Linked DNA regions of Xenopus tropicalis. The protein of the gene in region 6 purifies or fractionates together with the protein of the main gene of each other region. This does not show direct contact. Links are inferred from orthologs where the notes say so. Each region holds a gene or a part of one and is shown on either strand. Other genes may lie near its edges. The genes, in order: vamp4, snap29, stx10, sec22b, bnip1, napa and vamp3.

The links.
Region 1: the proteins of napa (region 6) and vamp4 purify together in Homo sapiens (affinity purification with mass spectrometry; 3 studies listed by BioGRID and IntAct, counting the BioPlex papers as one, with this or other methods). This does not show direct contact. The link is inferred for Xenopus tropicalis from reciprocal best matches to the Homo sapiens genes NAPA and VAMP4.
Region 2: the proteins of napa (region 6) and snap29 purify together in Homo sapiens (affinity purification with mass spectrometry; 3 studies listed by BioGRID and IntAct, with this or other methods). This does not show direct contact. The link is inferred for Xenopus tropicalis from reciprocal best matches to the Homo sapiens genes NAPA and SNAP29.
Region 3: the proteins of napa (region 6) and stx10 purify together in Homo sapiens (affinity purification with mass spectrometry; 3 studies listed by BioGRID and IntAct, with this or other methods). This does not show direct contact. The link is inferred for Xenopus tropicalis from reciprocal best matches to the Homo sapiens genes NAPA and STX10.
Region 4: the proteins of napa (region 6) and sec22b purify together in Homo sapiens (affinity purification with mass spectrometry; 3 studies listed by BioGRID and IntAct, counting the BioPlex papers as one, with this or other methods). This does not show direct contact. The link is inferred for Xenopus tropicalis from reciprocal best matches to the Homo sapiens genes NAPA and SEC22B.
Region 5: the proteins of napa (region 6) and bnip1 purify together in Homo sapiens (affinity purification with mass spectrometry; 3 studies listed by BioGRID and IntAct, with this or other methods). This does not show direct contact. The link is inferred for Xenopus tropicalis from reciprocal best matches to the Homo sapiens genes NAPA and BNIP1.
Region 7: the proteins of napa (region 6) and vamp3 purify together in Homo sapiens (affinity purification with mass spectrometry; 3 studies listed by BioGRID and IntAct, with this or other methods). This does not show direct contact. The link is inferred for Xenopus tropicalis from reciprocal best matches to the Homo sapiens genes NAPA and VAMP3.

What each region holds. Positions count from the first base shown.
Region 1 is NC_030680.2:107,512,541-107,515,062, reverse strand, and holds part of vamp4 (vesicle-associated membrane protein 4), read right to left. Parts: intron 1,754-2,522; coding exon 1,653-1,753; intron 1,217-1,652; coding exon 1,137-1,216; intron 978-1,136; coding exon 926-977; intron 1-925. UniProt on the Homo sapiens protein: Involved in the pathway that functions to remove an inhibitor (probably synaptotagmin-4) of calcium-triggered exocytosis during the maturation of secretory granules.
Region 2 is NC_030677.2:153,633,264-153,635,440, reverse strand, and holds the end of snap29 (synaptosomal-associated protein 29), read left to right. Parts: intron 1-881; coding exon 882-1,042; 3' UTR 1,043-1,677; downstream 1,678-2,177. UniProt on the Homo sapiens protein: SNAREs, soluble N-ethylmaleimide-sensitive factor-attachment protein receptors, are essential proteins for fusion of cellular membranes.
Region 3 is NC_030679.2:140,624,130-140,628,124, forward strand, and holds the start of stx10 (syntaxin-10), read right to left. Parts: upstream 2,801-3,995; 5' UTR 2,505-2,800; coding exon 2,470-2,504; intron 543-2,469; coding exon 373-542; intron 106-372; coding exon 11-105; intron 1-10. UniProt on the Homo sapiens protein: SNARE involved in vesicular transport from the late endosomes to the trans-Golgi network.
Region 4 is NC_030680.2:118,088,402-118,092,580, forward strand, and holds the start of sec22b (vesicle-trafficking protein SEC22b precursor), read right to left. Parts: upstream 2,801-4,179; 5' UTR 2,780-2,800; coding exon 2,705-2,779; intron 1-2,704. UniProt on the Homo sapiens protein: SNARE involved in targeting and fusion of ER-derived transport vesicles with the Golgi complex as well as Golgi-derived retrograde transport vesicles with the ER.
Region 5 is NC_030679.2:43,438,555-43,441,342, forward strand, and holds the end of bnip1 (vesicle transport protein SEC20), read right to left. Parts: coding exon 2,602-2,788; 3' UTR 501-2,601; downstream 1-500. UniProt on the Homo sapiens protein: As part of a SNARE complex may be involved in endoplasmic reticulum membranes fusion and be required for the maintenance of endoplasmic reticulum organization. Also plays a role in apoptosis.
Region 6 is NC_030684.2:79,897,402-79,901,337, forward strand, and holds the start of napa (alpha-soluble NSF attachment protein), read left to right. Parts: upstream 1-1,136; 5' UTR 1,137-1,159; intron 1,160-1,169; exon of another isoform or gene 1,170-1,426; intron 1,427-1,614; 5' UTR 1,615-1,627; coding exon 1,628-1,725; intron 1,726-1,917; coding exon 1,918-1,997; intron 1,998-2,118; coding exon 2,119-2,235; intron 2,236-2,885; coding exon 2,886-2,932; intron 2,933-3,936. UniProt on the Homo sapiens protein: Required for vesicular transport between the endoplasmic reticulum and the Golgi apparatus. Together with GNA12 promotes CDH5 localization to plasma membrane.
Region 7 is NC_030683.2:101,173,600-101,177,700, forward strand, and holds the start of vamp3 (vesicle-associated membrane protein 3), read left to right. Parts: upstream 1-1,301; 5' UTR 1,302-1,346; coding exon 1,347-1,348; intron 1,349-4,101. UniProt on the Homo sapiens protein: SNARE involved in vesicular transport from the late endosomes to the trans-Golgi network.

The DNA.
Region 1 (2,522 bases), on a different chromosome or scaffold from region 6:
TGCCTTTAACACCCTGTAGTTCACACTGCATTATAGTCAGTTTATAGTCTAAACCTGAGTTGAGAACAACGCAACTCAGGCTCAGCCCCCACATTGTTCACCTGTTCACACCTCAGACTGTATGAACAGTGCCAGCATTGTGTCACTGTATGTACTGCCTGCCCTATGTTGCCTGAGTGTGCCATATTTTTCCTGCTCTTTGCTACCTGTGTGCGCCATACTCTGCCTGCCCTATGCTGCCTGTATGTGCCATACTCTGTCTGCCCTATGCTGCCTGTGGGAGGTGAACATGGCAGGGGTTTGTTCTGGGTTGTTCCGAGTTTGTTAGCATTTGGAAATAGTCATTATATGGTCCATAAGGAGTGTAATTATGTGTTGGGGCTTTCCACAGGCGAGGCATATGAATTTAAGGGTGTGTCTTAATATGACATAATAAACTTCCTTCACAAATGAATGAAGGATGGTATCCTTCAGTGAGCATTAACCATTTGGGTTTTTGCTGTGCTACCGCCATTAATGTGTATATGGTCTTAAAAGCTCTTGTGATAACATGGGTGTGGTTTGAAAAGGGGAATGGTCAAAACTGGCTTCCATTATCGGCCCTCCACCACATAGGCCAGAAAAATTTTGGCCCTCGGTATCACAGGGGTTGGACAGCACTGATGTAGTGTACTGCACAACAAATAAATATTGCTTTAATCTCCCCTCCATCTTTATTTGCTTTGAAGTTGCCTGTGCAGTGACAACAGTACAGGAGGTGAACAGAGGACTAAGTTGATGCAATACATGCTTTGCTAACTATAATTTTTTGAGGCCCTGTGTCCCCATGTCTAATGTTTTCACTGAGAACAAGAAAATAAAATTGAAATTGCTTGTAAAATACAATATTAACAAGTTTCATTAGGTTTGTGAGCAATATACCTACCAATAATCACTAGTAGGATGATGACAAAAACCAGTGCTATAATTGCTTTCATCTGAAAAGCACAATAAACTGAATATTAGATGTATGGTAACCCAATTATTATGCAGGGAAAAGCTAAAATTCATGCAAACTGATAACCATTCATTGCTTTACTGGTAATTTGACAAAAATCCAAGTTGTTGAATGTATTACAGTTTGATGCACTACTTACCTTACACTCCCTCCACCACATCTGTCTCCTAAGCTGTCTTGATCTGCTGCTGAAGGCTGTGGCATTGTCTGATAAGCTTTCTGTGGCAGAACAGATATAGGATTGTGTGTTAGAAAAGTGCATAAGTTAGGGTGGCAATACAGTGAAAGATCTTTACCTGATATGCCCATCTTGAGGTGAGTGTGCCAAAAAATCAGATCACAATTGCAGCTACATGCAGGCCATTGGATCAAGGACTGCATCAACGTGCAGATCAGGTCCTCAAACCAACTGAAAATTAAACCTGCCCAATATTGGTCAATACTGCCCAGATATCGGTAGGGTTGGCCCATCAGAGGGCCCCATACAATGCCAATAAGCTGCCGAATTGGTCTGTTAGCAGCTTTTATTGGCCCCTGTATAGCCACTTTTAGTCAGCATTTCTTAGCATGGAAATAATGACTGCATATAAATTAAAGAATAAATAGATCAGAGAGCAATTTCTTATCTCACCGCTTACTGCAGGAGCTCCATTACCTGACTTGTCCTGCAGCTCATCCAACCTTTCTCCCCTTTCGATCACCCTTGTGATGTTTTCTTGCATGACATCGATGACTTCATCCACCTGGTTCTGTACACTGCAAATACAAATACAACTGGAACAACAACAAACAACTGCCAGTCTAGCAAGGTCATTTTCCTTTAGCTTAGCTAAAAATGGAAAGCCTTAACTTTTGGATTTCATTTCAAATTTATCCCACAATAAAGTTTTCATCATCAATATTTTTTAGTAACCTGTTCACTACTTTGCTGTTGCATGCCTTTAAGTACCCCACCATATGAACCAAGCCAGTTTGTGTTTGAGAAAGCCCTGTATGGGTGGGTCGTAGGAACCAATTTCTGCTCAAAGAAGAAGGTAAGTACTGAGGGTAGTTTAGCAAATGATAGATCTGACAGTATTAGTTTACCTTGGAAAAAGGGGCTTGCTTAATTTCTATTACATTCTTACTGTATCCAAACAAGTTTAAATTAATCTATTCAGAGAAAGTGGATCAGTTTCTAGCATGTTCGGAACTATATCCCCATTTGCATTTCACCCATTTACTCTTTAGCGCTTCTGTGATGGAATCCTTGTTTAATGGTTAGGGAGCAAAAGGTTACATTCCTGCATATAAAAAAAAAAAAAACACACAGAGAATTTAAACTGTCATTCACGCCATATTATTCAAAGACGCCAGCAACACTTTAGTCTGCAGGCTAATGTCACACAGGAAGACTGGAAGTGGCTACTTGCAGCGGATGAGATTTGACTGTTCCCTATAGTGACATTAAAGGCTAATGGATGGAGAGGAAGCAACGACACCAACATTTAGCCAGCTGCAAGCTGAGCCTTCCCATCTCTCTGTG
Region 2 (2,177 bases), on a different chromosome or scaffold from region 6:
TATAGGCTCTGAGGATCATTAACTACCAATCCTACATTTACTATTATCAGTATTACAATTGCTTTTTAAATTACTGAAATGTGTGCCTTTGCCCTAATGGGGTAACCCAGTGTCTTTTTACATAATAACACTGAAAGGATTTGTGTGGTATAAGACTGGGAGTGAAATAATAAGAGAGCTGCTCTTCAAATACCCCTTTGGCCTGTCTACAAAACCATTATGACTGCTAAAGTGATACTGACACGAAAAAAAAACTTTTTAAAATATAAATCTACATAAAAAGTTGCCTATAGGTCGTGTTGATCATTTTTTACTGATAGGGCTGCTTTTGTAAGTAATTGTTACTTGAAATCCCAAAACCTGACTGTTTTGCCAGCCTGACTGTCCCTTCTCAGCCTGTCAGTTATAGCTTCTAATGCTAACGGCCTCCTGCTGGACAAATATGGCCGCCCCCTCATAGAGGAACATGGGGGATCAGATAGGGAATGTAAAAGCTTGGACAAATACTTTTATGGCAAAATTATAAATAGCATGCAAAGACAATGTTATGACAGATGTAAAAATAATTTCATTTCTGGTGTCAGTATCTCTTAACAAATACTTCCTGTTTTGGCATATCTTTCATAAACAGTTTGGAGGATTGCGACTCTAATTACCAACCAACTAATCACATTAAGAATCTATTGGGAAAGAAATAGGCTCCCAACAGATTTTAATGACTGATTCTAGGCATCAAGGCTACCATTTATAGATGACCTGGTTAAAGCTAAATGACAAGGTGTAACCCATACACCGTATTTTTTTTTTCCATACCTACTAATATTGCTGCATTTTAAAAATAATAATACTAATCCTAAGGTTGTGTTATTCCTTTCTTCCAGATGACATGTCTTTAGGTTTGGGTCGCCTGAAAAACCTTGCACTAGGACTTCAGACAGAAATCGATGACCAGGATGAGATGCTTGGGCGCCTAACTGGCAAAGTAGATAAGATGGACTTAAACATCAAGACTACAGACAAGCGGATTCGCGAAGAGCTATAAAAGACAAATTTCAGACTTGACCAAGACCGACTCTTGAGTTTTATTCTTGTGGTTTTTATAATGTTATGCAGTTTTTTTTTTTTTTGTTTTTTTTTATACTGGGACATAAATATCCCACACATCCCTATCTGAATCTTATATCTTCTGTATAACTATACATTACATTCGTTAGCATTAAATGTAGATGATGTTTTGCAGTATTATTACTAATATAGATCCTTATTAAGATATAAAAATGAATTGTCTTACTATTGGAATTGTATTGTAGTGATTGGCAGTTTGTTATAGCTCTGGATCTGAATAAAGTATTTGAGTTCATTTGCTAGGTATTACCTTACTGCTATATGACAGAATAGACATATGAACATGCCTTTATTAAAACTGCAATATTTTACACATGCTCGTAACATAGGGTTTAATGGGCCCTGCCATATGCCACTTTCTTATTACCCTTATTATTTTAATCTAGTGTTCTGAAACTTTGTGTATAAATATGTTTATAAATTTATGTGACACTCCCGTAAACCATACTGTGAATATTTTATCAGTTTACTTGTTAAGTTAAAAAAAAAAGCCTAATAATCTTGCCTGTTATTATTTTAACTAACTTGTTTAATATATTATTTGCTTTCTGATTTTGTGCCATTTGTCTTCTTTAGACAAATTTGAGTCTGTAGACTTGTTTCTCTGCCTGACATTTCAGATAATTTATTCATACTCCCTTATACTTATTAAATGTTTTGGACATAGTAATCCTTATTTCCCCTTTTGTATTATTAGCACACTTGGGCATATTTTAAAGCTGTGTAAAATATTACATGAGCAATAACACCATGCACCCTTGTAACTATCAATTACAAAGTTGTAATCATAATCAAAACGGGGCACATGTGCTTCAGATAAAATCAGTGGTAAAGAATTTATAGCAGCTGTTGAAGGCAAATGTGCCTAGCTTTTTAGTAGCTGTACATTAACATATATACTGTATATCTTTAAGCAGTACAAGCTATGATAACATCTGAGCCTGTGTTTCACTGTCAAATGCATATATGTTTGAGGGCGTGTTTAAAAAGGCCACTTTGCATACTAGACTGAGAAGTAGCACAATAATCTTGTACAGCAGCATTTTTACCTA
Region 3 (3,995 bases), on a different chromosome or scaffold from region 6:
TTTAATTTACCTTTACAGAATTCCGCGTCTGCTCCACAAAACTCCTTCTCTCACTAAGCTCCGTCCCGGTGATCTTGAATTTTCGCGAGTTCGATTCCACGATGCCCAAGATGGGAGTAAAGGAAAACTGTGGAATGGACTAGAATTGCAAAAAGGCTACCAGTGGCCAAGGGAACAACACAGAGCGTAACAGTAGAATAAACCCATACGCTAGGGGCCCTTTTGTATCCCATGGGTTTATTCTAGCGCCAGTATGTTAGATGGGCCACCTCGGGGCCTCCTATCAATATGCCTGGTATCAACTAGGTGCCTCTCGGGCTATTTCAGGGTTACCTGACAGGGACTGGCACTGTGTCTGACCAATTAGGATACTGATGGTTTCTTCCAGATCCTCCAGATCCCATTCAATGCTGCGCAAGGAATTCCGCAACTCGTTGGTCGTCCAATCAAACTCTTCGGCACTGGTAACTTGGCTTTCTTGGAGGAGTTCACACCAGCGCTGGTACAAACCCCGGCTGGTGTTCAGAGCCTTCTGCACCTCTCTGCGGGGGGAGAAAGAGAGTAATACAGGACAGAGAGATGGCTACCAGAGGAACGAGGGGGGAGAAAGGGAGGAGTCTAGTTTTGTTTTAACTATGGGGCCCTGACTAACAGCACTACTATAGGGAAATGACTCCCAGGGAAAGGGTTGGTGGCAGCCAAATGTCTATGTTTTACGGTATAACTTCATCTTTGGTTATGGTCTCTAGCACAAGGCAAAGCCCAGCCAGCCTGACCTGTGTTTACTTTCTAGGGCAGGGAAGTCAGTCAGTCAGTCAGTCAGTGAGTGGGGGGGAGTTGTAATACACAGGTCTGTTTGACATCCTTGTAGGGCGGGCTTCACTACAGGCCACGGATGGTTTGAGCCTTGGGAATGACAAGGTGCAGGAAGCGCTTGCCATCGGCATAAAGAGACTTTACTGGACCCCATAGAAAAGTCATTTTAGGGACCCTCTTAACTTTGGGAACAAGTTAGAAATATATATTGCAACTGAGTCAGTGCCCCACTGGGCCCCCTATACCCCCTGTTATCAGTCAGTGCCCCACTGGGCCCCCTATACCCCCTGTTATCAGTCAGTGCCCCGCTGGGCCCCTATACCTCCTGTTATCAGTCAGTGCCCCACTGGGCCCCCTATACCTCCTGTTATCAGTCAGTGCCCCACTGGGCCCCCTATACCCCCTGTTATCAGTCAGTGCCCCGCTGGGCCCCCTATACCCCCTGTTATCAGTCAGTGCCCCACTGGGCCCCCTATACCTCCTGTTATCAGTCAGTGCCCCACTGGGCCCCCTATACCCCGTTATCAGTCAGTGCCCCTCTGGGCCCCTATACCCCCTGTTATCAGTCAGTACCCCACTGGGCCCCCTATACCCCCTGTTATCAGTCAGTGCCCCACTGGGCCCCCTATACCCCCTGTTATCAGTCAGTGCCCCGCTGGGCCCCCTATACCCCGTTATCAGTCAGTACCCCACTGGGCCCCCTATACCCCCTGTTATCAGTCAGTGCCCCTCTGGGCCCCCTATACCCCCTGTTATCAGTCAGTGCCCGGCTGGGCCCCCTATACCCCGTTATCAGTCAGTGCCCCTCTGGGCCCCCTATACCCCCTGTTATCAGTCAGTGCCCCTCTGGGCCCCCTATACCCCCTGTTATCAGTCAGTGCCCCACTGGGCCCCCTATACCCCCTGTTATCAGTCAGTGCCCCTCTGGGCCCCCTATACCCCCTGTTATCAGTCAGTGCCCCACTGGGCCCCCTATACCCCCTGTTATCAGTCAGTGCCCCTCTGGGCCCCCTATACCCCCTGTTATCAGTCAGTGCCCCTCTGGGCCCCCTATACCCCCTGTTATCAGTCAGTGCCCCTCTGGGCCCCCTATACCCCCTGTTATCAGTCAGTGCCCCACTGGGCCCCCTATACCCCTTGTTATCAGTCAGTGCCCCTCTGGGCCCCCTATACCCCCTGTTATCAGTCAGTGCCCCACTGGGCCCCCTATACCCCTTGTTATTAGTCAGTGCCCCTCTGGGCCCCCTATACCCCCTGTTATCAGTCAGTGCCCCACTGGGCCCCCTATACCCCCTGTTATCAGTCAGTGCCCCACTGGGCCCCCTATACCCCTTGTTATTAGTCAGTGCCCCTCTGGGCCCCCTATACCCCCTGTTATCAGTCAGTGCCCCGCTGGGCCCCTATACCCCCTGTTATCAGTCAGTGCCCCTCTGGGCCCCCTAAACCCCTTGTTATTAGTCAGTGCCCCTCTGGGCCCCTATACTTCTTAGGACCCCCAGTAGTCACACAATCTGTCTCCCCTATAGGCAGAACCCCACATGTCCCTGTATACTCCCTGGCGCCCCTCGCTGCGGTCTCTATGGTAACCCCCCGGGCACAGGAGACAGGCAGCATGGCACTGCCCATTTGCTGGAATAAGAAGCCAATACTCACCCTCTCACCACTGAGAATGGATCGTCCAGAGACATTTTGGCTTTTCTTCCTGTTTTGGCTTATTTCCCCTTCTATCTAACTCTATACAATAATCTATGTCTGTACTTACATAGCGCCCCTAGAGTGCCCAGGCACTTACTGCATTCTCTGCCCCAGCTGCCCTTATAGGAATCTACAGCCTCTATATAAGCTCCTGTCTCTCTCTATACCTGTATATATATATGTGTGTGTGTGTGTATATGTGAGTATAGGGGCTAGCAGGGTATCTCTCCCATCCCTGGGGCCGCACTCTGCCCCCTCCCCTCACAGCCTCTGTTTATATAAACACGTGTATAAACTCATCTCCCCCCGCTCCCTGCCCCGCACCTCTATCACTTGTACCTCTAATAATAACAATAAATCTGTCTCCTAGCAACAAGCTTCTGTCACTCCGACCCCGAGTCTCACTCTCTCCGCAACACTCTAAACTCTCCCCTACTGACAATCTTTCTTCCAGTCACTTTTTCGCCTACTTCCGCCCTCCTCGGCTTCCCTGCCGTCACGTGTCTCCGGTTCAGGCGCGAAGCATCACGGGACTTGTAGTGTATTTCTGTTAATCCGATCAGTTCACTTCTAGGTCACGTGACTGGTGCTGAAATGCTGCAGTTCGGTTGAAGCTTCGCTGGGGGCGCTGTGTTGTTTCTAATGAGGAAGTGAAAGTAGGGAAATTTGGAGGAAAATACCCGCATAATGGGAGAACGTTCGCAAACAAGATGGGGCAGGGTGGCATAGGAGTATTTATTTAGTTTTAAGAAGATGGAAAAATCGACCTTTTGGGGAAATCTTTGCCAATGCCAGAGGGGCTGCTGAGAACTTCCGTTGACTTTGGGGTATTTTTGGCCCAACCAGCCCAATTAAAGGAACAGTAACACCAAAAATAATAAAGTATATCAAAGTAATGAATATATATTGTACTGCTGCCCTGCACTGGCACAACTGGCTGTGTAACCTGCACCTTGTTCCCCCAATAGTATGGGGCGCATTGTCTGTGGATCCCACTTCAGGAGGGGGTTGTTGCGCTTGTTGGGAGTAAATGAAGAGCAGTGATTGGCCAAGTATAACCGCTGCCATTTTGTGGGTAGTTCTGAATGTGAATCTGAATGGATATCTTCATGCAGAAATAATAGCAGCAGGTAATGGTAATGGATGGGATAGATTTGATGGCTGATGCTGGGGGTGCCACACTTCTGATCGGGGGGGGGGGGGGGGGGGGTTGTGGATTACAGCCAGAGGTGTGGGGGGACTGGAATCTTGGGAAAGTAAGGAGGGGCTTGGTCAGCAGTGGCCATAGTGTCAAGTGTGGGGCAGAGGTCCTAGAAGGATTAAAGGCAGATGTTCCTGGTGCTGTTGTGATTGCAGAATGGGCCCCTATAAGAAGGCAGTGGGACATCACCGGTGCCAGATAAACCCTGTGCTGCAAGTCTCACAGTAGGAGCAAGGTGAGCATGGGGGGCACTCATGGCGGGGATAGTCCTTCCACCCAAGAG
Region 4 (4,179 bases), on a different chromosome or scaffold from region 6:
TACCACTGCCAAGTTACTAGGGTAAAAAATACCCTAGCAACCAGGTAGCCGCTATAAAATGGAGAGCTGCTGAACACAAAAATAAATAACTGAAAAACCATAAAAAATGAAGACCATTTGCTAATTGCCCTTTAAAGCCCTTCTCCTTGTGTACTTAACCCATATCTTCAAATTATGATATGACCAGTAATTAATATTTACTGACCAGTCATATGACTATGTATATGACTATTTAGGTGCACATCATTATTTTAGTCAATGTTTTGAATGATGGTTGCACTAATGAATGGGGTTTTACTCTGGCCACATTTCTTTCACTGTTATAATTTAACCCCCATGCTCAACAGCCTCTGTTCCTCTGAGATATATAATTAGGTGTGGGAGGTGCATATGAACAATTTTTAGTGTTAACCGCCATTTCACTAACTGGTCCCTGATGCCCATTGTGGCAAAAACCACTGACATTAAATCATTCAGCAAATAATAATCTGCCAACCAACATGTTTACTGAGAAAGGGTAAAGTGTGATGTCAACGGCACTGCAAAGTTCTGGACTGGTTCCATGCAGGATGTCCTGGGGTAAGTGCCTAAATAAGCAACGGTATATTCTATGCAGATTACACATGGGTAAATATATTTATTTTGCCTGCTCCTATATTTGCATGATTATTCTGTATCTATGCTCCTCGTATAGTTCTTATTACGTGGCTATCCTTGTGGGTTTCCACTTTACCTTAGCCTGATACACAAAGAGCTTTATATGAAAATTAGACCAATGAGGGAAGGTTTCATTATAACTCGAGGGAGAGCAGTAATTACAGCTCACTTGCTAACCTGCAGACAGCAATACAATCCTCAATCTTCATGTAAACACATTTTATGTATAGCTCCTGCATTGCCATAGGAGCTAATTACAGCACTACATATCCTCCTCTCATACAGTAACCCTTAGGCACTGAAATAATGGCAAACAGTCCTTTGCATACAAGGGAACAGTAGCAGCTTTTCCAGTTACACACCATGTACATTACTGTAGCACATTGATAAAGGAAGAACAGAAACAAGTTGCTATAAAAGTGCAACAAATCAATAAGTAGCTCTGGAATATCTGTGTTTTGTTGGGTAATTAGAGCTGCACTGTATTCAATAATGCTCCCAATCTGAACCCATGCGCTTCTACCCTATGACCTTTCTACTCCGTAACTTTACGCACACTTTTTTAAGAAACTCTTGCACAAGCCTTGCAACATAGAAGAGGTGGTCATACCTCCTGAACAGAAGGATAAAGGTCTAGAGGCTATTTTTACTAATAGTGCAACAGTGCCTTTTCACTTGGACACAATCAGGCAGCTTCTGCTCAGATTGCCAACACAACCTGTGACCTTATACATCCCTTAGAGGGCCACATACGGTCTATGGCTGGTCAGTCCTGTGATATAATCTTTAATAAGGCATCTTATCTACATGCACAGGGTACTATTTAAGTACTTACCGTCACAGTTATGCACACCCTCCCACCACTCTATAGAAGCACCGATAAATCATAAGCATAGACCTAGGCATGTCCCACATGTACACCTTTTTGGACAAAACCAAAGCTACCTATAACCCTCACCTGTACAGGCTAAATACATGGAACACTACATATAATGTTCATTAATAGTGGCACAACTAATATACAACACTACGCACAGCCTTCACCTTTCTGGCTAATCAGTATAAACACACAATAGAATAGCTAATTCACACCTGCATGGACACAGGTATGGTCACTATACATAACCACAAACAGCTCTACATTCCGCACACAGTTAAAGTCATACATATCTAACATCTGTATGGTCTAAATGTATCCGCACTGCTTTCTTTATAAATATAGATTGTAAGCTCTACGGGGCAGGGACCTCCTTCCTCTTGTGTCCTCGACTCTTAACTTATTGCAGCTGTATTTATTTATTGTTATACTTTGTATTTATCTATTATTATCTTATTAACACCCTGTTTGTATTAATGTATTCTACTGTACAGCGCTGCGTACATAAGTAGCGCTTTATAAATAAAGATATACATACATACATACAAATATCCCTCACCTATATGGCACAATAAATATGCCCACAACAGCTTACATAGGCCGTGCCTGTAGCGGAGCTGTGCATAATAGCCAGGTACATACTTGCTGGCCAGACCTGCCCAATCAACGGAACAGAGACAATGCAGCCAGTTATGATAGAAATGTATGTCTAACAATGTATTTTATAGGTGTCCCAAAATGAAGTTGACAGGCTACCTGTGTGTGCATATACAGTAGTCAACCCTACACATACACTACACTTCTTTATATATACAATGTACGCTCACACATATACACAAACACATTATTCATATCTCATCACAGTGTAAACAAACAGCTAGCACTCAGATACACAGCTTACCTGTATTCCCATAGCGCATAAACACACACAAGCAGGGCACTGCTTATAATAACGCACCCAGCACAATAACACCCTCGCTTGAATGGATACAGTGAATATACACCCCAGTACAACTGCCCCTGAGCTATGTAGCCCAAGGTTTTGCTTCTAAACATCACTCCAACATGCCCTCAGCTACATCTGGTTCCCTATAGCTATTACTATGCACTCCCCAACAGGTGGGCTCTCTCGAGTTGAAGACATGTTTGACCTGTATATGAACATTTCACCTGTTCGTCCTCCTGCATGGAGGCAGCCAGCGGGAGTCCGTCAGCCACTCGGGCGATCATCGTTAGCAGGACCATGTTGACCGGGGGAGACAGACGCACACACACACAACAGGGCTAGAGATCAGGATGAGCTGGCCGGAAACGTTGCTCTCCACCCCCCTGCTCCGCTGGCAGTGACAGGGTTCACACTGTAGTACCGCCCCCCTGTCTGTCTCAACAAAGGTTCCGGGGTACGAAAGTTCCTAGGGAAGGAAAATGAAAGTTACGGCGCCTAGGCATTTGTGCTGTGGATTCGCCATCTTTTATTTGGAATCTGCCAGTATTGTCTTTTATAAATCGATGCTAGGCAAAATAATGAGTAAGAAAAGAAGGGAAATCTTTTTCTAGAGACGTGATATCTTGGCATCTTAATACTTTAAGGTTTCCCCTAATTTCTGAGCTGCTGCTGGAACAATTAATGGTTTTGCATGGGCCAGGTCATAAATGGCAACTGAAGCCCTGCTTCACCCCAATTGCATATGAGGCATCTTACCCCTTTTTGCCTTAATCCATTAAAACTCAGTTCATGTTCTGGCCCACCTACCTTCAGCACATACAGTTGCCGCCTGCCCAGGGTTTTACTGGCCTGGCTGGTAAAAATGATGCTTGATGTTGTGCAAAGACAGGGTTCACTTTTACTTCTTGGCCATATTTGCCAATGACATAAGGGGTTGAGTAGGTACCAGGAGGGTGAAGTTGTGATGTGTGGGGCCTTAAATGGATGAAGTGGGTCAGATTTGGTAAGTAGGCAGGGCTTAGGTGCATAGAAGGGGTGCAAAGAGAGGGACCCCTGACTGCAGAACCATTGTAACCCCCTGTAGTACATTATTGAGTTACTTGATTTATAATATATATTTCTGCTTTGATATATCATTTAGGTTTAGTCAATAAATAATTCAGCACATTTTAGGGAACTATTGTGAAGATAAGGGGAGTCCAGTGTACTTGTTGCTGGGTAAACATATATAGTAAAAATAGACATTTTTTATTGTTACATAAGAAACATGGGTATTGTTAGCCAGCAAATAAACAAGCATACAGCAGGCAGACAATAGCCGCTTATACACAACTTATTTAAATTAGACATGACTGAAGAGGTATAAAGCTCTTTATGGAGAATTAAACTCAAAAAATCAATATGGCTAGAAATGCCAAATTTTACATACTAAACTTGATGCAGCAGCCTAAAGTTTCAGCATCTCTATAGTAATAATTATCCAGGTCCTTACAGTTATCACAGAAGCTTCCCATCTTGGATGTTGCTAGGAGTGTTAGTGACACTGCATATGCTCAGTGTGCCCTGGGCAACTGTTGGGAAGCAAAGCTTAGGGGTTGTTGAAAATTATCAAGCCAAAAATTAGGTTTAATTGTCATATACGCTGATGCCACATGGCTGATTAATAAATTCTGATGCTAATTGCACTGGTTTCAAAGCT
Region 5 (2,788 bases), on a different chromosome or scaffold from region 6:
TTTTAATTGTGCATAGTGCACTTTTAAGGCAAGCTCTTTTGGTACAAAGATAACAAATTTTTCAGTAAAATGTTTTATTACATACAATGCACAGTGGTGAAAAATGTAAAATTTGCAATATTTTTTCACTGACAGGTGCGGTCGCAAAACAGTTTCCGGGTTCACAACAGCTATATTAAATTATATTCCCCCCCCCCCCCATAAATACTCAATTGAATGAGTGCAGTTACAAGTGGCAACCAATTTAGCAATTTGCTTTTATTTTTTTACCAACCAAAACTAAGAGCTGAACATTGCAATGGGTTACTGCACTGGTGCAATTTAAAAACCTAGGTTAGAAAAAAGCATATTTTGGATTAAAGGGCAAATTTTCTCCTAAAGCAGGAATATTTGTATATCCCTCATGTTTGGATGTAGGAAGAATAAATCTCAGAAACCAGTCGGTTAGTGGGTGTAGTAGGAAATAACACAAACACAGAATATCATAAATATAATTTATTAAAGAAGACAAAAACTTATTCCTGTCCTCCTGCCAGCTGACATGACATTAGTTAAATGGTAATCACATAAAATATCATGAGAATTAAAGGAAATTGAAAGTTCCATGAGAGAATTGGTCCATGTAGACACAGGAAGTCTGATCTCTGTGCCGTTGCCTTCTGTACAAGGGACAGCTAGTAATAGCCTCAGCCCCCACATGGTTTCCTCCACACAGCACAATGGAATTAATGGCTTGCAATGACAAGCACATATTATATGTTAGTGCTATAAACTGAGCAGCCTTCCTGCTACCGGAAGCTATAACCCCATCTTCTCTGGCTTTCAGGGTGAAGGGGGATTCCATGCAGTAGAATAGCCACAAGTTTGACACTCATTATCTGTTAAAAATAACTCATGACAAAAACCATATAAACGTTTAGTCTGCATGATGGCCATACTGCTTCTTACAGATATATAGCAGTTTATGTGCATCTTTATTTAACTGGATGAAAAGCAGACATTTTATAGAGAGACACTAACTTACAATACAATATGGCTGGACAAAAAAGTTGCCTTCAGTTGTGAGATACTACAAGTCACCTGAAATGGCTGTGTTAAAGGAGCACAGTATTATTGTACATTTTCAACAATATTCCACTCCTGACATTCCACCCCCTGAAGAAATTACATGTTGTAAGGTACCACTGTAGCTGTAGACTGAAGTAAACACTGGAGGAAAGTGAGGTTATTTATACAAATTGCAAAAAAAGTCATTTGCAGTTGTCCTGCATAAGTACAGTTAGTCTATATCTTAATTATTAAAAGACCAGATGATCTACATCCCTGTGATTTCTGCTTTGCTTTCTTGCAGGGGTCATTTACAAAGTGCAGGACAAGGTACAAAGTGTCTAAAACAGGCGCAATCCACCATGTTAATTTTCGCACTTGTACACAGTGCTTTTCTGAATAGCTGAAAGTCTCTGTTCTCCAGAATAGAGAGTAAATCTCAGCATGATATTGTGCCCAGCTACCTTCTGTCCTCCATATTTATATTTATTATGTATAACCAATTATAGGGTTCATTCAAATTATTTTCTTACACAAGATTTACAGCTAGAACTACCACTGACCCCAGAGTCCTCTGCTGTCCTGTCTTTGGGCAAATGTCCCTCTCACTGATGATGTTTTTACATCAGTGATGGCAGGAAAGAAGCTGACTTGACCACCCTTGACCTAGATGGTGGCTGAGTCCTGGTTATTGGACTGAAACAATTGCCTCAAAATCTTATTGGGCTTAACAAGCTATTGTTTGGGAATGCTGAATAATTCTGTCAGGCAAGAACCACAAAAGGCTGTACATGCCTGCTACACTGCTACTGTTTATATATCTGATTCGGAACTCTCCATCTCTGATGTCAAAGGATGAGGCAGTGAGGTGCGAGTCTATAAATGCTAGTGCCAAAGGAATCATGCCAGAACAGGACTGGCTGGGGGAGGCAGTCCTGCATATAGTTCTACCCACTACATTGCTGGCCCGAACCCACCCATGAACCCATGGGTCATGTGGACTTTGGGCTGGCCTGCACACCTCTAATGTAGTCCTCATCAACAGGTCGCCCATTAGTAGCCAAAAGATCAAAACAACAACAAAGCCCATCAAACTGTGCAAACGTCTGCATTTGGGTAATTTTGCTTGTGCATGGTCAGTTTTAGCCTAAGACTGTAACCAAAAAGCACCAGTCTACAGTAAATGATCATTTGTTTCAGTGATGACTTACATCAGTACATAAGACTATCATAAAATCCATTGTATGGCAACTTACATGAATGGAACACAAACGTCAGGTCCAGTACCACAGTCTAAAGCAGGGATGTTCAGCCTTTGTTTCTTCTGCTGTTGTCAATCTACAGCTCCCAGAATTCCCTAACAGTTTAACCAATAATAAACCTACAAATAATTTAACTTTGTGCACCATTTTAAACAGATTAGAGCTGACACAGTCTTAGTTACTAGTTCCAGAGTATTCTGTATAGTTCAGTTAGCTGATGGCAATCTTTAAGGCCAGTGGTCCTCGCCAGATGGGCATCCAAATCCTCTGAAGTAAGAAACCCACACAGTGACTAGAATGGAAGCAGCCTTTTTTTCAAGATGTACAGTACAGTTGCTAAGAATAAGGCCAAGGCCAGAAAAATGAGCAGCTTGTCAGTGAGCTCACGCCGGTTGTACTTAGTGATAAGTTTACGCCCAAGTTGTATAGTCCCTGACATGGATTTGAACTCTTCATTGGCTTCCTGGATGGTCCGTGAT
Region 6 (3,936 bases):
ATTAATAATGAATATTAATTATTTATTAAGAATTAATAAACACTTGTTACAGTCAGGGACTCACCAAGCTTATTTTTTTTAAAAAAGGAGCAGTAAGTAGAGCTTGTACAGTAGTAGATAAAGGCACAGCAGCACCAGCGTAACTTTTGTGACCCACGACCTGAGCAGCACCAGCACCCACAACAAATAAAAAAGTGCAGGAAGAAGCTGTGAAGATCCAAAGACAGCAGTGACAGAAGGAGCCAAGGAAACCCAAAGGAAGACAAAAAGACCTGAAGACGAGCAGGACACTTAAAAGACACAGCAGGACATTTCAGTAAGTATCTGGGACAGCGGGACAATGTGCAAAAATGGGACATCTGGGGGTGTGGCCATATAGTGGGCGTGGTCAAGAAAAATTTCGCCGCGCTTAGCGCTGCAAAATATTTTGTCCCTCTTTTTCATTTTCAAATGTTGGGAGGTATGAGCAGTTTATATTAAACTCATTGCCAGGCACGTTAAGCAGTTTGGGTTATTCTTTACTGCCTTTCCTTAACTTGGCCTTCAGGTCATTAGTAAAGTATATAGTTGGTGGTGCACCAATAAGCAAAAAAAACTGTTTCCTGGACCTTTAACCTCTACCGCATTTATGCTTAGAGAGCAGAGAATGGTAACATGGAGTTACTGTAATAAGCAGTATTAGCTGAATCAGAACAAAGGCTGCCCCCTTACTAATAATGTTAACGCCAGGGTAGTAAAAATGATGCCTCGTTCCAAACATTGCCAATAGCGAGGCAAAAAGCTAAAAACAAACAAACCCGGAAGACCACTGTTTTTTTTAATATGAAATGCAACACTACACGAAGATAAGGACAACTAAAACATAAAAAAGATCATATGTAAAAAAATGATAATGTAATAGAAAACAACGCACTACAGTCTGTATTATTTTTAAAAAGGAGTACACATCTTTCCCTTTAAATGCCGCTCAGAAAAAGCCTAACTACATCTTCTGACTGTGTCTAGGCGGATGTGAATGCTAACGTTTGGTCACGTGGCACGGATATTGGCGGAAACAGAATAATCATGTGTTCTGCGGGCGGAAGTTTTGCTGTCACTGAAGCATAGCTGCTGATCCGGAGAAATACTAAGCGCAGTCATTATTTGCCTGCAAAATCAGGTCAGCGTCCCGCACACTGTTACAATTCTTTCCCTTCTGCTTGCCCTATTCTTCTGCTCTCTGATTCCCGATTATCTCCCTCGGCCGTCTCTCGGTTCAAGGGTTTTTGATCCCTGGCCTCTGCCTCCTGTTTGTCTCTATCCGCGAGTATCCTCGTATTACTAGCTCGTCGGCTTTCTACGAGGCCTTTCACTCATTTGCAGAGCTTTTTCTTGGCTGCCTGCCTCCTAGTTCTGGTTAGCGCTCTGAATCGGCTAACATCTTGCGGTAATAGAAAAACTTTAATAGATTAACTACTTTCCTAAAATGTAATTCCAGGCCCATGTTACAATGGCTGATTCTATGGTCTCTGATCTAATACCGGGGAATTTTTCTGAATTTATAGATATTTTCTTTTTTATAATTTATATTGGCATCTATTTTCCATATTTTCTGATTGTTATTATCATTGACAGGCCCCATTCAACCATGGATAACTCTGGGAAGGAGAAGGAGGCTCTGCAGCTTCTGGCTGAGGCTGACAAGAAGGTGAAGTCATCGCAGTCATTCTTTTCAGGGCTGTTTGGGTAAGTGAATTAGAAATAATTACATGGTAACAGGGCAAAATCTGTTTCTGACCAAAAGCATTGAACTGTCACTAGTGTTAGTAATATTAAGCATTTACAACGCTGTAGCTGTCACTACACAAAGCATTTTACATTTTGTTAATCTTATAACTTGAATAGTGTGTAATCTTTGTCTGTTTGTCTGCATTTAAGAGGCTCCTCTAAAATGGAAGAAGCATGCGACCTCTATGCCAGGGCTGCCAACATGTTTAAGATGGCCAAGAACTGGAGTGGTAGGTAGTATGTAATCTGTAAAATCATTTGTAACAAACTTTCCATATATCCATATATAGGTATATAGATATTTATACTCCTCGGAATAGTGCAATAAGATGCTCTTCTTCTTTTTCCCAGCTGCTGGCAATGCCTTCTGCCAGGCTGCCCAGATCCATCTTCAGGTTCAAAGCAAGCATGATGCAGCCACTAACTTTGTGGATGCTGGAAATGCATTCAAGAAATCTGACCCCCAGGGTAAGAGAGGTCCTAGTTGTCTCTTGAATGAGTCTTTTTTTTTTTCAAAGTTATCTATCAATAACTGTTTGTACCAGCACCCAGTGTTCCCCTTTGATTTGTTTTCGGTCATATGCACAAAGATAACATATTTATATCAGTTATGTGCACAGAAATGTGGGTTGTTGTAATAACTAAGTGTAAATAAGTGTTTTGCACAAAAGTGTTTTTTGTCTATTGTGGCAATACCCCCACAATGATAGCTCCAAGAAGAATAAAATGCAGAGACCCCCCTCCTCCCCCGTCTTGATGCTCCTGAATACAGTGCTCCTCACCTGTAACTGTTAATAATAGACAAAATAGACCGGTGTGATTTGCAGCATTTTTTTACTATCAAAGCAATCCTAGCACTGGTCGCCAAATGCAAACAGGCACATTTCAAGCTGATCTGATATTGTCTTGACCAGAGAATGCCATGCACAGCCAGGCACATGAATATATTCTTATATATTCATCTTGAATATGAAATGCCAGGTGATTTTAGGCCTTATTTTATTAGAGGTATTTTATTAAATGAAATAAAGGCTTTTCTGCAAGAATACATAAAGCAATGCTTAACTTTTTCAATAATAACTTTGATAAATGATCACAAGTATCTATATTGTTTTCAGAGGCAATTAACTGTCTGCTTCGAGCAATAGAGATCTACACTGACATGGTAAGGACAATTTCAAACTATCTTCCGCTTTTTTTTGGTCTTTATCACTTCTTAAGTTGACCACAAACAGAGTGACAATGCGAATATGGCTAAAAGAACGCAAGATGTTTAGTAAGATATTTGTTGACTAAGGATCAAGGTGTGTTTAAATGCAGTTTGTAGAGAATGATACATATGTGTTTGGGAAATGGGCAATAGAATTGTTATGGAAACAAGTGGGTTTTTTTTTAGTCAGAAAGTAGCAGGGAACAAAAAAAATGCTCTTCTAATGAATGTTCGGATATCGATCATACGTTTAAATGCAACGATCTAAAACTAACATTCAGACTGAAATTGTAGGATAAAGCTCTAAAAATAAATTGGAGGATGTTCTGAACATGAAATAGTAGGCAGACATCAATAATGCAAAAGTGAGGGCAGGCAGTACCCTTCTGAACAAACTCTATGCCAGGTGGCAACAGGATCTCCCCCACATTACACTTGAACTGTGGGAGGAGGTGTTGGAGTCAACCTTTGATGCTGTAATTAGGGATACACCCCACCGTTACAAATATTAAACCAGGAGCTCCCACAAGAGTGCCCCAGATGTCGTTTTTCACCATCTGACTTTATCCAGCTGTTGTGGCCTGTGTGCAGCACTTCTGGGAGGAAGTGGCAAAATATATACCCGGTAGAATGGATATCTGGTATATGCTCAGTCAGGTTCAAGAGCTGTCCCCCCTCATAGAGAAAAAAAAAATGTAAATGTCCATTTTATGTATGTATGCAAAAAAAAAAAAAAAAAAACCCACAGAAAAATTGCACAATTCTTAAAGACACCTGGTGGGCCAACTGTGGCAGCATGAGAAGCTATGGTGGAGGGAGCCATTCCCCTGTATCCCCTGCATAGGCGGTCCTCAAAGATTTGATGTTTGTTGTTGGGTTTTATGTTGAATTTTCTTGTTTATGTTTAGGTTTATTGTAAAATGAGCATCCTATTCATCTGGTTTTTTTTATGATGTTGC
Region 7 (4,101 bases), on a different chromosome or scaffold from region 6:
ATTTCTACCTCCTTCTGCCGATTCAGCCCTGACGGCAGATTTTGGTCAGGCGCCTTCTATGGCGCCCGATCAAAATTTTCTAACCTGGCCAATCGGCGAGTCGTCCGATATCAGCAGCTTCCTGCGATATCGGTCGACTTGCCGACATGCCATACACGCACCGAATATCGTACGAAACAAGGTTTCGGTGCGTGTATGGCCAGCTTAAGGCCAAACTATAACATGAAAGGGATACAAAAAGTCAAGCCTGCACCATCCGATCGTCATCTGGACGATTTTTGGGCAGCTATTGGTTGGGGATGCCTGTCAGAGGGCCCCATACATTGACAGATAAGATGGCGAATTACTGTGAAGAACCCGAATTGGCAGCTTTAAGGTGCATGGCCACCTTTATAGAATTGCTAATATCTTTTCTACCAACCACCTGATATCTTTCCTATCCAAACTTCCCCTCCCCAAAAATCACCTACAATTCCCCTCTTCCTTCCTAGGAGGCGTGGCTAGTCCAGGCCCACCCATGGCAAACTTTGTGTGGAACCTACTGCAGAGGAGAGTGGGTGGGGGCTCTCCAGGCCATGGGACAGGACACCTGTTTACTTGGGGAAGCTGGTTATAATAATTAAATTAATTTAACCTGCAAATAGTTGCAGTCTATATACATATTTATATTGTTTTATTTCTTCCTTAACCTCAAAACATTTTAGTCCGCAGCTTGGCCAATGTTATTAAAAGAATAACTCGTCTCCTGGTCAGGTTTATATAACGGTGTTGTAAGAATTCCATATGGATTTAGTTTGTAAGCTTTATTTGACTACTGAGGTAAATGATTATTTCTGTTACTGCGCTGCAGGCTGCATAGCTATAAGTGCAATGTTCTCAGCTACCATTTATACCAAAGGGGCCCCAGGGAGGCTGTGTGCCCAGGCTGAATACTCTCTAGTTAAACTTTAGAAGCGTTCCCCTAATGTCGCAGCAAGAAACACATTAGACTGCCCGACACGCCTAGGGCCCCCCGCCGCCTCACACTATTCTGAACATAACCCTTGCGTGTGGAATTTCGCACGCCAAGCCCCCATGCCAGTTCATTGGCGGGAATATCGCAGCGGTTTCCGCCGTTCCCCGAGGGACAATTTAACAAGACAAAACCGGGAGCGGCTGTGCCACACACGTGACCTGCTGCTCAGCTGACAGCGCTGCACCTGACGTCATTGATGCTGGCCACGCCCTGAGTTGCGCTGGCCACACCTCTCCCGGCAGCGGAACTCTACGGGATTGCGGCTACACAAGGCAAAAACGCCCAGCGGAGTAAAGTCGGACCGGTGTCCTGCAGTATCTAGCCTGTCAAAATGTAAGTGTGCCAGTAGTGCTTGGGGGGGGCTGCCTTTACAAGTTGCGGGGAACGCCCTGCCCGGTATCCGCCCTTAGCCCTGCGCTACCGAGCGGGGCCTGTGAGGCGTAGAGTTTGGGCGCAGAATGTGCTATTTTGTCCGTACAAAGTTGTATTTAGTTCGGCCGAGAAGTTTGTGCATAGGCTTATAGGGGTGTTTGACAGGGGACACAAGTGCCCTATGGCTTTAAAGGGTAAATACAATTACAATAGGCGTGTAATGTTTCAGTCTGCTTTCTGAACTCCTAGCAGTGTCGGACTGGCCCACAGGGATACCGGGAGAATTCCCAGGGGCCCTCCTGCTTCTAGCCATTTGGCCTAATTCAGGGTCCTTACTTATTTTTCTATAAGGGAACAAAGCAACTAAATATATAGAAAAATAGATTATAGTCTGTAAAGATAAAGAAAAATAACTTGGAATATATAGAGATAAGAAATGGATGAAAAATAATTTGGAGGGTGGCCCCATGGTCTAAGGCAGTGATCCCCAACCAGTGGCTCAGGGGCAACATGTTGCTCCCCAACCCCTTGGGTGTTGCTCTCAGTGACCCCAAACCAGGGAGTTATGTTTGAATTCCTGACTTGGGGGCAAGTTTTGGTTGAATAAAAACAAGATTTACTACCAAATAAAGCCCCTGTAAGCTGATAGTGTGCATAGAGGCTACCTAATAACCCTTATTTGGCTCCTCCATGAACTTTATGGTGCTTGTGTTGCTCTCCAAGTCTTTTTACATTTGACTGTTGCTCACGAGTTAGAAAGGTTGGGGATCCCTGGTCTAAGGTTTTCTGGTGGGCTTTTAGCATCCCAAGTCCGACACTGACTCCTAGCATCTAATGGGATGGGAGTTGTAGTACAATAACAGCTTGTTGTTACATTACATAATATGACTTCTGTTAGAACTCAAAATAGACTTAATGGCTCGCATTTGTATTTACTGCTTCACAAGTCTTGACTCATTTTAAGAAATGGTTCTTAATGTGAATGTTCTGCTGCAGCACATTGTTGTTTTACGGAATTTATGTTGTTCAGATTGGGTGAATTTCATCAGCAGATAGGTTTCATTTCAAGTGCATTTGCTACATGTCACAGGGTAGGTTTTGACCACCATTGTATCCTGGTGGGGGTTTAAGCCCCTGAAATCACCCACGCCTGCCTCCCATAGCAACCAGAGGAAATCACCCTTGTGATGGCTGCATAGGCTGAGGATTTCTAATACATTACTATGGGAAGTGGCAACCAGCAAATTTATCAGATATTGGTCTAAGAATCATAATAAGGAACTTGTTACAGTTAGGTAATACTATTTAGGGTGAAGACACACAGAGCTACTAGTAGCAGCTACTTGTCATGGCTACTAAAAAAGGCTGCTGATCATTTACTGATAGTTATCTCTACATGTGTTAGGGCATTAGGGTATTTTCTGGAGTTTAGTAGCCTTTACAAAGTAGCTGGTACTAGTTGCCCATTGTGTCTTCACCCTTAAAGGAACAGTAACACCAAAAAATGAAAGAGCTTTAAAGTAATAAAAATATAATGCACTGTTGCCCTGCACTGGTAAAACTGGTGTGTTTGCTACAGTAACACTACTATAATTTATATAATAAGCTGCTGTGTAGCCATGGGGGCAGCCATTCAAGCTGGAAAAAAGGAGAAAAGGCACAGGTTACATAGCAGATAACAGATAAGTTTTATCTGTTATCTGCTATGTGCCTGTGCCTTTTCTCTTTTGAATGGCTGCCCCCATGGCTACATAGCAGCTTATTTATATAAATTATAGTAGACTTTCTGAAGTAAACACACAGCTTTTACCAGTGCAGGGCAGCAGCACATTATATTTTAGTTACTTTTATACAATTTCATTTTTTTGGTGTTGCTGTTCCTTTAAGTATCCAGATTATAACCCATATAGATACACTTGGTCAGTGTAGCAGATCTCTTCCAAACTGACTGAACATTAGGATGTAGCCTTTAGGTGACGTATTAACTTTTTTGTGACCCCAGTAGGTCCCTTCTTTCTCTAGAGAATTGCAGATTGCTGATAGCATAGCTCAATCCAATTGGGAACTCTTTTTTTGTGTAAGTCATTTATTTCAGATTCTTCTGATTAATATAATGTAACCGTATGTTGTTAGAGAGGAGAATGCCAGGGTTACACCCAAATTATTTACTCAGAGAAGGGCCAGCAGCAATAAAACAGCTTTAAACCCATTTTTACCAAAAAGGAGAGGAGCTGATCTGCACGTAGATCCCAGTAATTACCCTGGCACTAAGGAGAAGAGAAAGTGTAGCAGCTGCCTGTTTCACTTATGATCTACAGCTGCAGACCAGAATATTGTAATAAAATTATAATTATACACAATTTGTAGATTATAAGCTCTTTTGGGCAGGGCTCTCTTCACCTCTTGTATCAGTTATTGATTGCTTTATATGTTACTCTGTATGTCCATTGTATGAAACCCACTTATTGTACAGCGCTGCAAAATATGTTGGCGCTTTATAAATAAATGTTAATAATATACTGTAAGTTTTGCACTATGTGCACTTATTGCTCAAAGGTCTTTACCTTTGAGCAATAAGTGCAAAACTTACAGCAAAGTTTCTGGTGAATTCCATTCAGATGTTGGGGGCTAATGACTCCCCAGACACTTTTACATTTGATGTGCGTGTGTGTGGAGTTTGGGAGGCATTCTGTCTCAGAGGCTGATTATATCAG